Kluyveromyces lactis: one gene and its partners. The protein of the gene in region 3 interacts with the protein of the main gene of each other region in a biochemical or structural test. Links are inferred from orthologs where the notes say so. Each region holds a gene or a part of one and is shown on either strand. Other genes may lie near its edges. The genes, in order: VPS4, RFU1 and BRO1.

What was found.
Region 1: the proteins of BRO1 (region 3) and VPS4 form a complex in vitro, tested with the Saccharomyces cerevisiae proteins (3 studies listed by BioGRID). The link is inferred for Kluyveromyces lactis from reciprocal best matches to the Saccharomyces cerevisiae genes BRO1 and VPS4.
Region 2: the proteins of BRO1 (region 3) and RFU1 form a complex in vitro, tested with the Saccharomyces cerevisiae proteins (2 studies listed by BioGRID). The link is inferred for Kluyveromyces lactis from reciprocal best matches to the Saccharomyces cerevisiae genes BRO1 and RFU1.

Annotation. Positions count from the first base shown.
Region 1 is NC_006038.1:948,826-952,226, reverse strand, and holds VPS4 (AAA family ATPase VPS4), read left to right. Parts: upstream 1-1,596; coding exon 1,597-2,889; downstream 2,890-3,401. Other genes in the region: ASN1 (asparagine synthase (glutamine-hydrolyzing) 1), read left to right, coding at 1-1,116; KLLA0_B10824g (pyridoxal 5'-phosphate synthase), read right to left, coding at 3,047-3,401. UniProt on the Saccharomyces cerevisiae protein: Involved in the transport of biosynthetic membrane proteins from the prevacuolar/endosomal compartment to the vacuole. Required for multivesicular body (MVB) protein sorting.
Region 2 is NC_006040.1:484,158-486,737, reverse strand, and holds RFU1 (Rfu1p), read left to right. Parts: upstream 1-1,471; coding exon 1,472-2,041; downstream 2,042-2,580. Other genes in the region: ubiquitin-specific protease OTU1, read right to left, coding at 26-985; LAM6 (Lam6p), read right to left, coding at 2,285-2,580. UniProt on the Saccharomyces cerevisiae protein: Inhibitor of the DOA4 deubiquitinase involved in the regulation of protein degradation by the proteasome and maintenance of a normal level of free ubiquitin.
Region 3 is NC_006041.1:2,120,248-2,124,430, reverse strand, and holds BRO1 (Bro1p), read left to right. Parts: upstream 1-1,232; coding exon 1,233-3,674; downstream 3,675-4,183. Other genes in the region: MBA1 (Mba1p), read right to left, coding at 20-832; tRNA splicing endonuclease subunit SEN54, read right to left, coding at 3,713-4,183. UniProt on the Saccharomyces cerevisiae protein: Class E VPS protein involved in concentration and sorting of cargo proteins of the multivesicular body (MVB) for incorporation into intralumenal vesicles. Fusion between endosomes and the vacuole will then target the cargo proteins to the vacuolar lumen.

The DNA of each region.
Region 1 (3,401 bases), on a different chromosome or scaffold from region 3:
ACCACCCCAGTTGACTTTAAGGCTGTTAGAGAAAGTTTGGAAAAGGCTGTTAGAAAGAGATTAATGGCTGAAGTTCCTTACGGTGTTCTATTGTCCGGTGGTTTGGATTCCTCTTTGATTGCTGCTATTGCCGCAAGAGAAACAGAAAAAACTAATGCCGAACTTGATCCAGTTGTTTATGACAGTGACCCACATCAATTGGCTGGGCTTGACGAACAAGGTCATCTACATGCTGCTGGCTGGTCTAGATTGCACTCATTCGCTGTTGGTTTGCCAAACGCTCCAGATTTACAAGCTGCTCGTAAGGTGGCTACATTCATCGGTTCTATCCATCACGAACATACTTTCACTTTACAGGAAGGTCTAGACGCTTTGGACGATGTTATCTACCACTTAGAAACTTACGATGTCACTACTATCCGTGCTTCCACCCCAATGTTCTTGCTTTCTCGTAAGATCAAGGCTCAAGGTGTTAAGATGGTTTTGTCCGGTGAAGGTTCCGATGAAATCTTTGGTGGTTATCTATACTTCGCACAAGCTCCATCAGCTGCTGAATTCCACGTCGAATCTGTCAAGAGAGTTAAGAACTTGCACTTGGCTGATTGTTTGCGTGCTAACAAATCTACCATGGCTTGGGGTCTAGAAGCTCGTGTTCCATTCTTGGACAGGGACTTCCTACAACTATGTATGAACATTGATCCAAACGACAAGATGATCAAACCAGCTGAAGGTAAGATCGAAAAATACATTCTAAGAAAGGCATTCGATACCACGGATGAACCAGATTTGAAACCATACTTACCAGAAGAAATCTTGTGGAGACAAAAGGAACAATTCTCCGACGGTGTCGGTTACTCTTGGATTGATGGTCTAAAGGATGCAGCTGAAAGCACTATCTCTGATGAACAATTCGCTCAACCAAAGGCTGAATGGGGTGACGATATTCCAACTACCAAGGAAGCCTACTGGTACAGATTGAAGTTCGATGCTTTGTTCCCACAAAAGACCGCTGCTTCCACTGTCATGAGATGGATTCCAAAGGCTGACTGGGGTTGTGCTGAAGATCCTTCCGGTAGATACGCCAAGATCCACGAACAACACGTTGATAAAAAATAAGATCACTCTACTAATGTCTCTGTTATAAAATCTTATAAATATGTACAGAATAATTAAATAGAATTAGTACTTCCTCGATACAAATATACTATTTTATTTAACGTTAATGGCAAAAAGATATTTAGTGTGAGACTCTTCTATTATATGACTGGGGCATCTCTCTCATAAGCAATCTAGGATCACGACTGCTAGTATCCGAAGAGTGCTGTAGATGAACATTTCATTAGACATTGTAATTAATCACGTGATTTGATAAAGCATAGTCAAATACATTTTCTTATGTTGATGTTCCCAAGTAATTGCAAAAAGCCTATTATAATAGAGATACGTACTGCCTTAAATGTGTGTCGACTGATACGTGACTCAGTTTACCCCTCTGTTCCTGCTCCATAGTGATTTCGAAATACCATAGCCATTCAAATTGTAGAACGGCTTCAAGATTACAATTTAGTGTTCACTACTCACAGCACTTACATTGATATGAGCACCGGTGATTTTTTAACAAAGGGAATTGATTTAATACAAAAAGCCATTGATTTAGACACAGCTACGCAATATGACGAGGCTTACACCGCATATTACAATGGATTAGACTATTTGATGCTAGCATTAAAGTATGAGAAGAACCCCAAATCTAAGGACTTAATTCGAGCAAAATTCACTGAGTATCTGAATCGTGCAGAACAATTAAAGGAGCATTTGGAAACAGAACAACAGAAGAAACAAGAAAAGCCAAAAAAGGCAGCCACTGCTTCTGGTTCAGGTGGCAATTCCAATACAGAGGACGATGCAGACGATAAAAAGCTAAGAGGAGCCTTATCAGGGGCGATCTTGACAGAAAAGCCTAACGTTAAATGGGAGGATATCGCTGGTTTAGAAGGTGCTAAAGAAGCATTGAAGGAAGCTGTGATTCTTCCAGTGAAATTCCCACATCTTTTTAAGGGTAAACGTAAGCCTACGACTGGAATCTTGTTATATGGTCCACCAGGTACTGGTAAATCCTATTTAGCGAAAGCTGTTGCCACAGAAGCCAACTCTACCTTTTTCAGCATAAGTTCCAGTGACTTGGTTTCGAAATGGATGGGTGAGTCAGAAAGATTGGTCAAACAACTATTTGCCATGGCAAGAGAGAACAAGCCGTCCATCATTTTTATCGATGAAGTCGATGCATTGACCGGGCAAAGAGGAGAGGGAGAGAGTGAAGCAAGCAGAAGAATAAAAACAGAACTTTTGGTTCAAATGAATGGTGTAGGTAATGATTCCAGTGGAGTCTTAGTTCTAGGAGCAACTAATATCCCATGGCAGTTGGATAGTGCTATTAGAAGAAGATTTGAGAGAAGAATATATATTCCCCTACCTGACCTTGCGAGCAGAACAAAAATGTTTGAGTTGAACGTTGGTGATACACCATGTAAATTAACAAAAGAAGATTACAGATCTCTAGGGGAGATGACAGATGGTTATTCAGGATCCGATATTGCCGTGGTTGTCAAGGACGCATTAATGGAACCTGTCAGAAAGATTCAAATGGCAACACATTTCAAGAATTCGTCGGATGATCCAGACGTACGGAAGCTAACACCATGTTCGCCAGGCGATCCAGAAGCCATTGAAATGTCATGGACAGATATTGATGCTGATGAACTTCAGGAGCCTGATTTAACTGTAAAAGATTTCCTAAAGGCTATACAAACGTCAAGACCAACAGTTAATGAAGAAGATATACACAAACAGGAAGAGTTCACCAAAGACTTTGGTCAAGAGGGAAATTAGTTCGAATTCCAGCAGCAATTAAAAGATAATAGTAATGATGTTTCAAAATGCTTTCATGGGCAATATAGATAAATAATCATATACATAGAACGTAACTGAGTCATAATCCTAGCTGATTTTAGCATTAGAACACGAAATAACCCTGATTAATAATCCTTCAGGTATAGTAGCTTGTTCTGTTTTCGCTATCAGATATCTTTGCATCCAATATCTTAACCTTGATGATCACGTTGTCATCACCTTTGATATAACAATTAGCATCTGGATTCACTCTTAGTAGTTGCTTTTCATAGTAGTCGGATTCTTCAGATGATGGATCAATAACTGTCGCTGTACCTGATAGCGTGGCTGACATTTGTGATAGTTCAGATTGATTCAACTCTTGCAAAAGGTTGAGCAACCTACTTGGTTGTTCTTCAGAATCATTAGAATCTGGCACTGGAGTATTGGATACACTTGTTTTCCTCAGAGATAGTTTTTTTGCTGTGACCCAGTCATGGATCAAAAGAGAT
Region 2 (2,580 bases), on a different chromosome or scaffold from region 3:
ATATTATTCAATGGTTATATTTGTTTTATTTTTGCCTAAAATCAACATGACCAGTTTTCTCAGCGTGCTTGCTCACCTCTCGTTCTCCAATCAAGGTGGTGCCACAAGTATTGCATAAAATTGAATCTCTTGCAGTATTGAAAGACTTCCCCTCTCTTTTCATCTTCTTCGCGATCTCCTGTGTTTTTTGTAAAAGGAATTCAGTATCTTTCTCTCCGATGTCAAATACAGTTTGATGCTGAGTTCCATCAAATATCTCTACCGTATCATAATGAACTCCGTTATATGCTATAATAATAAATTTATCGTATAAATCCTCGTTGAATTTCTCGAATTTACGTGCATCCACATCGAGCACGTATATCGCATACTGAAAATGTTTCGATAATATTGCAATCTCGATACCACCTCCCCATGAAGAATGTTTCATTATCCACTCACTGTATTCATGATTCGGCCTGCCAAGAATAGCATCTGAATATTCAAATGGGTCTCTCCGGACTTCTGACGCCACAACTCCCCGTAGTTCTGATGACAGTGAAATGTTCTTGTAGACAGCATAGGATATAGCATGGAATAGACACGAATTGTCATCGGGCACTTCATGGAGTTGTAGTGCTCTAGTTGAATCTATCTGTACACTTTCAGATTTACCAGTGGGCTTCTTTTTCACTTCTTTATTGGGTAGTGTATTTGCTTTACTGGCATTAATACTTGGTTGTGTTCTGGTGGCAATAGCTTCATCGGCTTTACTCAGGCTCACTATGATCCGTTCCCCATTGCATATTCCTAGCTCTTCAAGTGTCTTAGCCTCATTCCCCTGAAAAAGTATACTCTGAGGTGGGAATCCGTACCGCATACTCTGCAATGATAGATCATCTTCATATGAGGACAGAATGAGTCCCTGAAATGTTTCCAAATCACATTCGGCTTCGACAGTTAAAACTTTGTCGCTCTTCCCAGAAATAGATACCTTGACCCTCATCTGCGAATAGGAAATATATTAAGTCTCGTTTAGCGGTGGTTATTCGACAGATATATATGGAAATGCTATGGCTATCCTCTTGGGGATGGATAGATAGTCTGTTGTTCTATCCGATTTTCCCCTTATTGCTTAGGCACTTAGAGGATTCCAAAAACAGATCACATGCTCAAGTGAAATTAACCCGTACATCACAGCAAACATTTTTCTTTGCATGCAAGAACAGTAAACGTCAAAACCACAACGAGATGAGATGAGATGACAGGTTGAGTGCATGAAGAAATAATGGAACTTTTAGTTTATTGGCACCAGTGGTGGATCAGCTGCTGTTGGGCAAGCGTTGTGTCAGCTTGAGTTATAGATGCGATTTGGAAAATAGGAGAAGAACCCGTTAAACTGAATAATCTTTTTAAATCCCAGCTTTTTCCTTTTACTCGAAAGAATATACGGTACCCGAATTAATTAAACACTGCTACTCCATCTGATACAATGAAATCCAGTTCACACTTAAAGCAAGAAGCTCTTAATTATAGATTCAATTCAAATGTGCCTCTGAAATTGTATCTGACAACTTGCATTAGCATTGTCGAGGAAGCTCAAAATAGTGCCAGGTGCAATAATATGGAGCGCGCATATCTTCTTTATATTAGATACTTAGATCTTTGTCTGAATAGACTTGTGCATCATTCAGAAGTTAACACATCAGTGGAATCGTTATACAAAAGAGAATACTTCCAACTGCTGAAGTTGGAAGTCCCTGCTATCATGAAGATTACTGAGGAATTGAAAATCAAAATAGATGCAAGATACAAGTCATTGGCAAACAATGTTGCGACATCGACCTACGTGAGATCGCCGGCTGTCATGACGACAAATCCTTCGGATGAAATTAATCTTCCGAGTTCCTTTGATGAACAAAAATTCAACCAATCTATAAGTTGGTTTAATCACAGTTCAAAGCATTTTTCAGCACAGTCAGACTCTAACAATGAATATCCCGAATTACCAGAACTCAATGCGACATCCACGTCGGTCACATATACCATGCCAGCATTATAGATTTATCTTTACTAATTTAGCATCTCCTTGCATATAGTCACCTATACACTAATTTTACCTTGTTTTCCGCGTTTAACATTTACGCATTTCAGTTTCATCATCAGTCATTACAGATATTCATAAATGTTACAAATACTATGAGAAAAATGTTATTACCTTTGAACTAGATACCAGATACAGTGTTTCGGATGATGAAGACTAGAACCTCTCATTTCATGTTAGGGTCATATCTTTACTAAACTGTCATTCCTCGTTGGACATTGGAAGTTCGTTGTAAACATTGAGTATATCTTTAATCTCCTCAATCACGGAAGCACTATTCGTGTTCATCAACTTGTTGAGCTTTCTTAGTATCCTCACTTGACATAGTGTGTTGAACATCATAATCAATGTAATTATAAACAAAAGAGAAAGTATTATATTCTCTTTTGTTAATGCTGCGTGTACCTTGTTCTCTAAATTGCTAGGAGTTGAAGGTTGTTGGACAGCAAGCTTAGATGATTTTTTTGATATTTTGCTAACACGTCTACTTTGAGGCA
Region 3 (4,183 bases):
TTACTAAGATATACTTTTATCAGTCTTTTTTAACAGGTGGTTGAACTCTGAACAAGTCTCCGTTAACTTTCATTCTTTCGATTACAATTTGGTTCGAAGTTTCGCTATCTTTTGGCAATTTCGCGTCTGGTGCACTCTCAAAAACAGAACCAGTTAATAGAATATCATTTGTGCTTGCATCGCAAAGGAAAGCGATATAGTCAATAACATCTCTGTCCAGTTTATCAGTTTTACTTTTCTTCTTGTCGAACTTAATTAACCTTTGTTTGGTATCAAACTTATAAATCAATTGAATTAATTCAACTGGACGACCGGGAATCATCATGGCTTGTGTGGAAACTAACTTTGGAACTTCATTGAATTTAATCAATTCCCAGTCCAAGGTAATGTTCGATGGGATTTGTTTGGCTCTCGCTGTCAAAGCCTCGTCAACCCATATGGACACTTGAGGTTTGATGGTATCCAGTTCTCTTTTAGCAAAAGCTTCATTAACTTGAACATATGTTTCGATAGCTTTGTTCTTCCACAGTAAAAAATTTGGCTTGAGACCTGATTGATAACGGAATAAGGCTACTTGAATGGTGTTCATACCTAACGTATAGATCTTCCTGACCAAGACATTGAAATAAGCCACTGGGGACGTTATTGGATTAGGCATATTTTTCTTGGAAGGTGCGATATATACCTGGTTTGCAACCCCCATATGACGTGGATTGAATGGGGCAGGCTTTTTAACAACACCATCGGAATCTAGAAGCCTTCTAGAGGTGCTAAAGAAACGACCTCTCTTCCCTAAAAGTCCAACGGTTCTTATTCCTCTTAGTTGAAACATTTGTTTAATTCACAGGGGGGTGTTAATGGTAAAGAGAATGGGATGTCTCAGAGCACTCTGGATGATTCCAATGATCAACTACGAAGAATGGTTCAGATACTACTAAACGCTGTCATCTTTATGTCAACCTTCATTCCTTTAATCTGCTGCTGTTGTTAAAATCAGATGTGCATCGAAATTTTTCGAAAGCTTCGCCTAAAGATCGTTTTGCACGTTTTGATACTTTTGATGCTAACCTTCATTAATCGACCTAGCCATCTACAAACAAACTACTTAACCAAGAACGATAAAGCACTTGGGCAATCAAAGATAGAACCACTACACCAGAGTTAACATTTGTGCGTTGCAAGACAGTTTGCAAGTACCTACTCTTTATTTCTTTTAAATCGATCATTTCATAATGAAAACAGTTCTACTTCCACTTAAAATTAAGGATACAGAGAGTATTAGTTGGACAAAAGGGTTAATAACCTATTTGAAAAGGTCATACGGATCTAGCCAGTGGTCCGTGTTTTATGATGGCGACAAGACGGCAGAGATTGATTCGTGTAGGACCACTGCTAATTCAGATCTTGCGCCAGAATCATTATTAGATCAGAACTATAAGTACGCCGCTATATTGGAGCAAATCTATCTAAGGTTAGGCGCACACAGCGGTTCATTACAGATGGATTTCACGTGGTATGAAGCAGAATATCACTCTAGGTTGTCAGAAAAAAAATTCAAGCAACATACTGTAGTCTTTGAGAAATCATCTGTCATGTACAACATCGGTGTTCTATTGTCTCAAATCGCTAAGAAAAAAATGTCTGATAATTATAAGAGCGCGATTCCTTATTTGAGCAAGGCAATGGCTTGCTTCGATTATATGTCGAACAACTTTTTGAATTCACCTTCTATCGATTGTGCAGCAGAAAATACATCTTTTCTCTCCACATTGTTGCACGCCGAAGCTCAGGAAATGTTTCTCATGACGTTGATTAATGGACCAGATGCTTCGAAAAGAGCATCTTTGATCAGCAAACTAGCACATACTGCCTTAAATTTGTATGAGAAATGTCAAGAATTTTATGAGGATAGTTCAACAGCAACTTTTGGGACTACGCCTTATGGAGAAGACAAATGGAAGGATATAATTACCCTAAAGGTTCACTTGTATAGGGCTATTTCGACATACAATCACTTGAGAGTGCTAGAGGAAGCTAAGAAAATTGGAGAGGCGATAGCTTATGGTAAGCTTGCGGTACATGAAATAAAAGAGGCTGGTTTCTATAAGGTATATGTGAAGGATGAGATTGATCTAACAGGGTTAAAAGCAGTAATAGAAGAGAAGTTGAAAAGTTTAATTAAGGACAACGATTTCATTTATAACGATTTGATACCAGCTGATGTGAGCATAGAAAGCATCAAAACCATGGACGCCGTAAAGCCAGTGACCTGGGAAGAACAGCTCAAGGTATACCTAGAGCAGGTTGTAGATCTCTGTAATGGTGCCTTTAAAGGTATAGTGCCTATGGAAGTCTATGAAAATGAGAGTATCTATTCTGAGGAAAAAGCTTCATTGTTAAGAAAGGAGGTCGAGGAGACGGATACAGCAGACTGGGAATATCAATCATTCATTGAATTTACTGACTTACCGAAACTTATCAAAGACCTTGAATCAAGATATGTACACGGTGGAAATGGTTCATCAGATGACCCTCAATATGAAATAATGAAGCAAAAAATAACTACTTGGTCAAAAGTTGTGCAAGACAGTAATTTCAAAGATGTAAGAGCGCAAATGCAAAATATTCTTGACAAAAGAAATGAGATTCTTACAATTTTATCCTCTGTCTCTCCTGATCAAAGGGAAAATGCCTTGAAAATCAAGAACTCTTTAGTGCAGGCATCTCAATCTGATGACAAAATATTTGCATCTATCAATCCATGCTTGGAGGAAGTTAATTTGTTAGCAAACCATCAGTTATTGTGGAGCATAATGAGTAAATTTCAGATAAGGAATGATGAACCAAGCTTACTTGATCTCGATGACTCAAAAAACCAACAGATCTTAGATCGCCTTCATAATATCAAACACAATCAGGAGATTCTACGACTACTAAAAGAAGAACGTACAAGAAATTTAAAAGATTTCAAAGAAAGCTTGAACAATGATGATATAACTCAAAAGTTGATATTGCTGACAGGTAAGCCGAAAAAGGAAATGAGGGTTATCTTCGAGGAAGAGCTTACTAAATTCAAACCGTTGAGTACTAGGATTGAAGCAACAATATTCAAACAAAACAATTTGATTAACGACATAAAAATCAAGTTGGACGAAGTTTTCAAACTTATTGGAGTACAAGATAAGACCCCTGAACAAGAAAATACAGTGAAAGAAAGACAGACCTTTTTCGATAAGGTTGAAAAGGCTTTTAACCAATTCGTTATATTTAGTACCGATTTGCCGAAGGGTTTAAACTTTTACGACACTTTGCTCAAGATGACTAGAGAATTAAGCCACGCATCCACCCCTGGACAATCTGTAAACTTGATAGATTCCAACACATTGCCACCTAACTTACCACAAAAATCTACACAATCTACAACACTTACAAAGAGTTTCGCAAATTTAAACTTATGCAATGATGTTAATGACTCGGTAACTCAAAGTCCTGCAAATCTCGCTAACACTAATAACACCGGAGTGAATCCAGGTCCGCCTCAATTACCACCGAAACCTCTTTCTACCGGTATCAGTGGGCTTGTCAGCGATCAAAAGCTGCAGAATGGACCGACATCCTTTTATAACAATCCATCTGTCTTTGATGAAAATCTCTATTCCAAATTCAGTAAATAGTGTTTGTGGTTATATATATCTTGAATTTAATGCTAATGCTAATTTCTCTTCTTCTGGTTTGGTTTTTTCCACTGTACTATTTTAGGTGATGGAACATACCATATATTTTCAGATCCAAAATCCGTTTCTGTGATTTTGACTATACTCACCAAGCCGCCATCCATCACCGCTAAAAGGAAACTCCGATAACCTTCCTTAATTCTCTTCATTTTCCGAGCATATAAGCTCAAGGTTTTATCTCCTTTATTATTCTTACGTCTGCTTTTTAAATGCCTCTGAGCATCAACATTACCGGTCTTGTTTGATTTTGTCACTTTTTCTTCGGCTATATCAACATCATTAATAAAAGGGAATTTATGATCTAATCGTTGAAATATGCCCTTAAAATCTTTGAGGTTTGGAAATTCCGCTTTCTTGGAGTTTTTATTATGGATGACTATTTGGAAATCAGGCAGATATCTGTTACTCTTCTTAAAAGATGGATTAGGTTTCCATACATCAAATGCAAT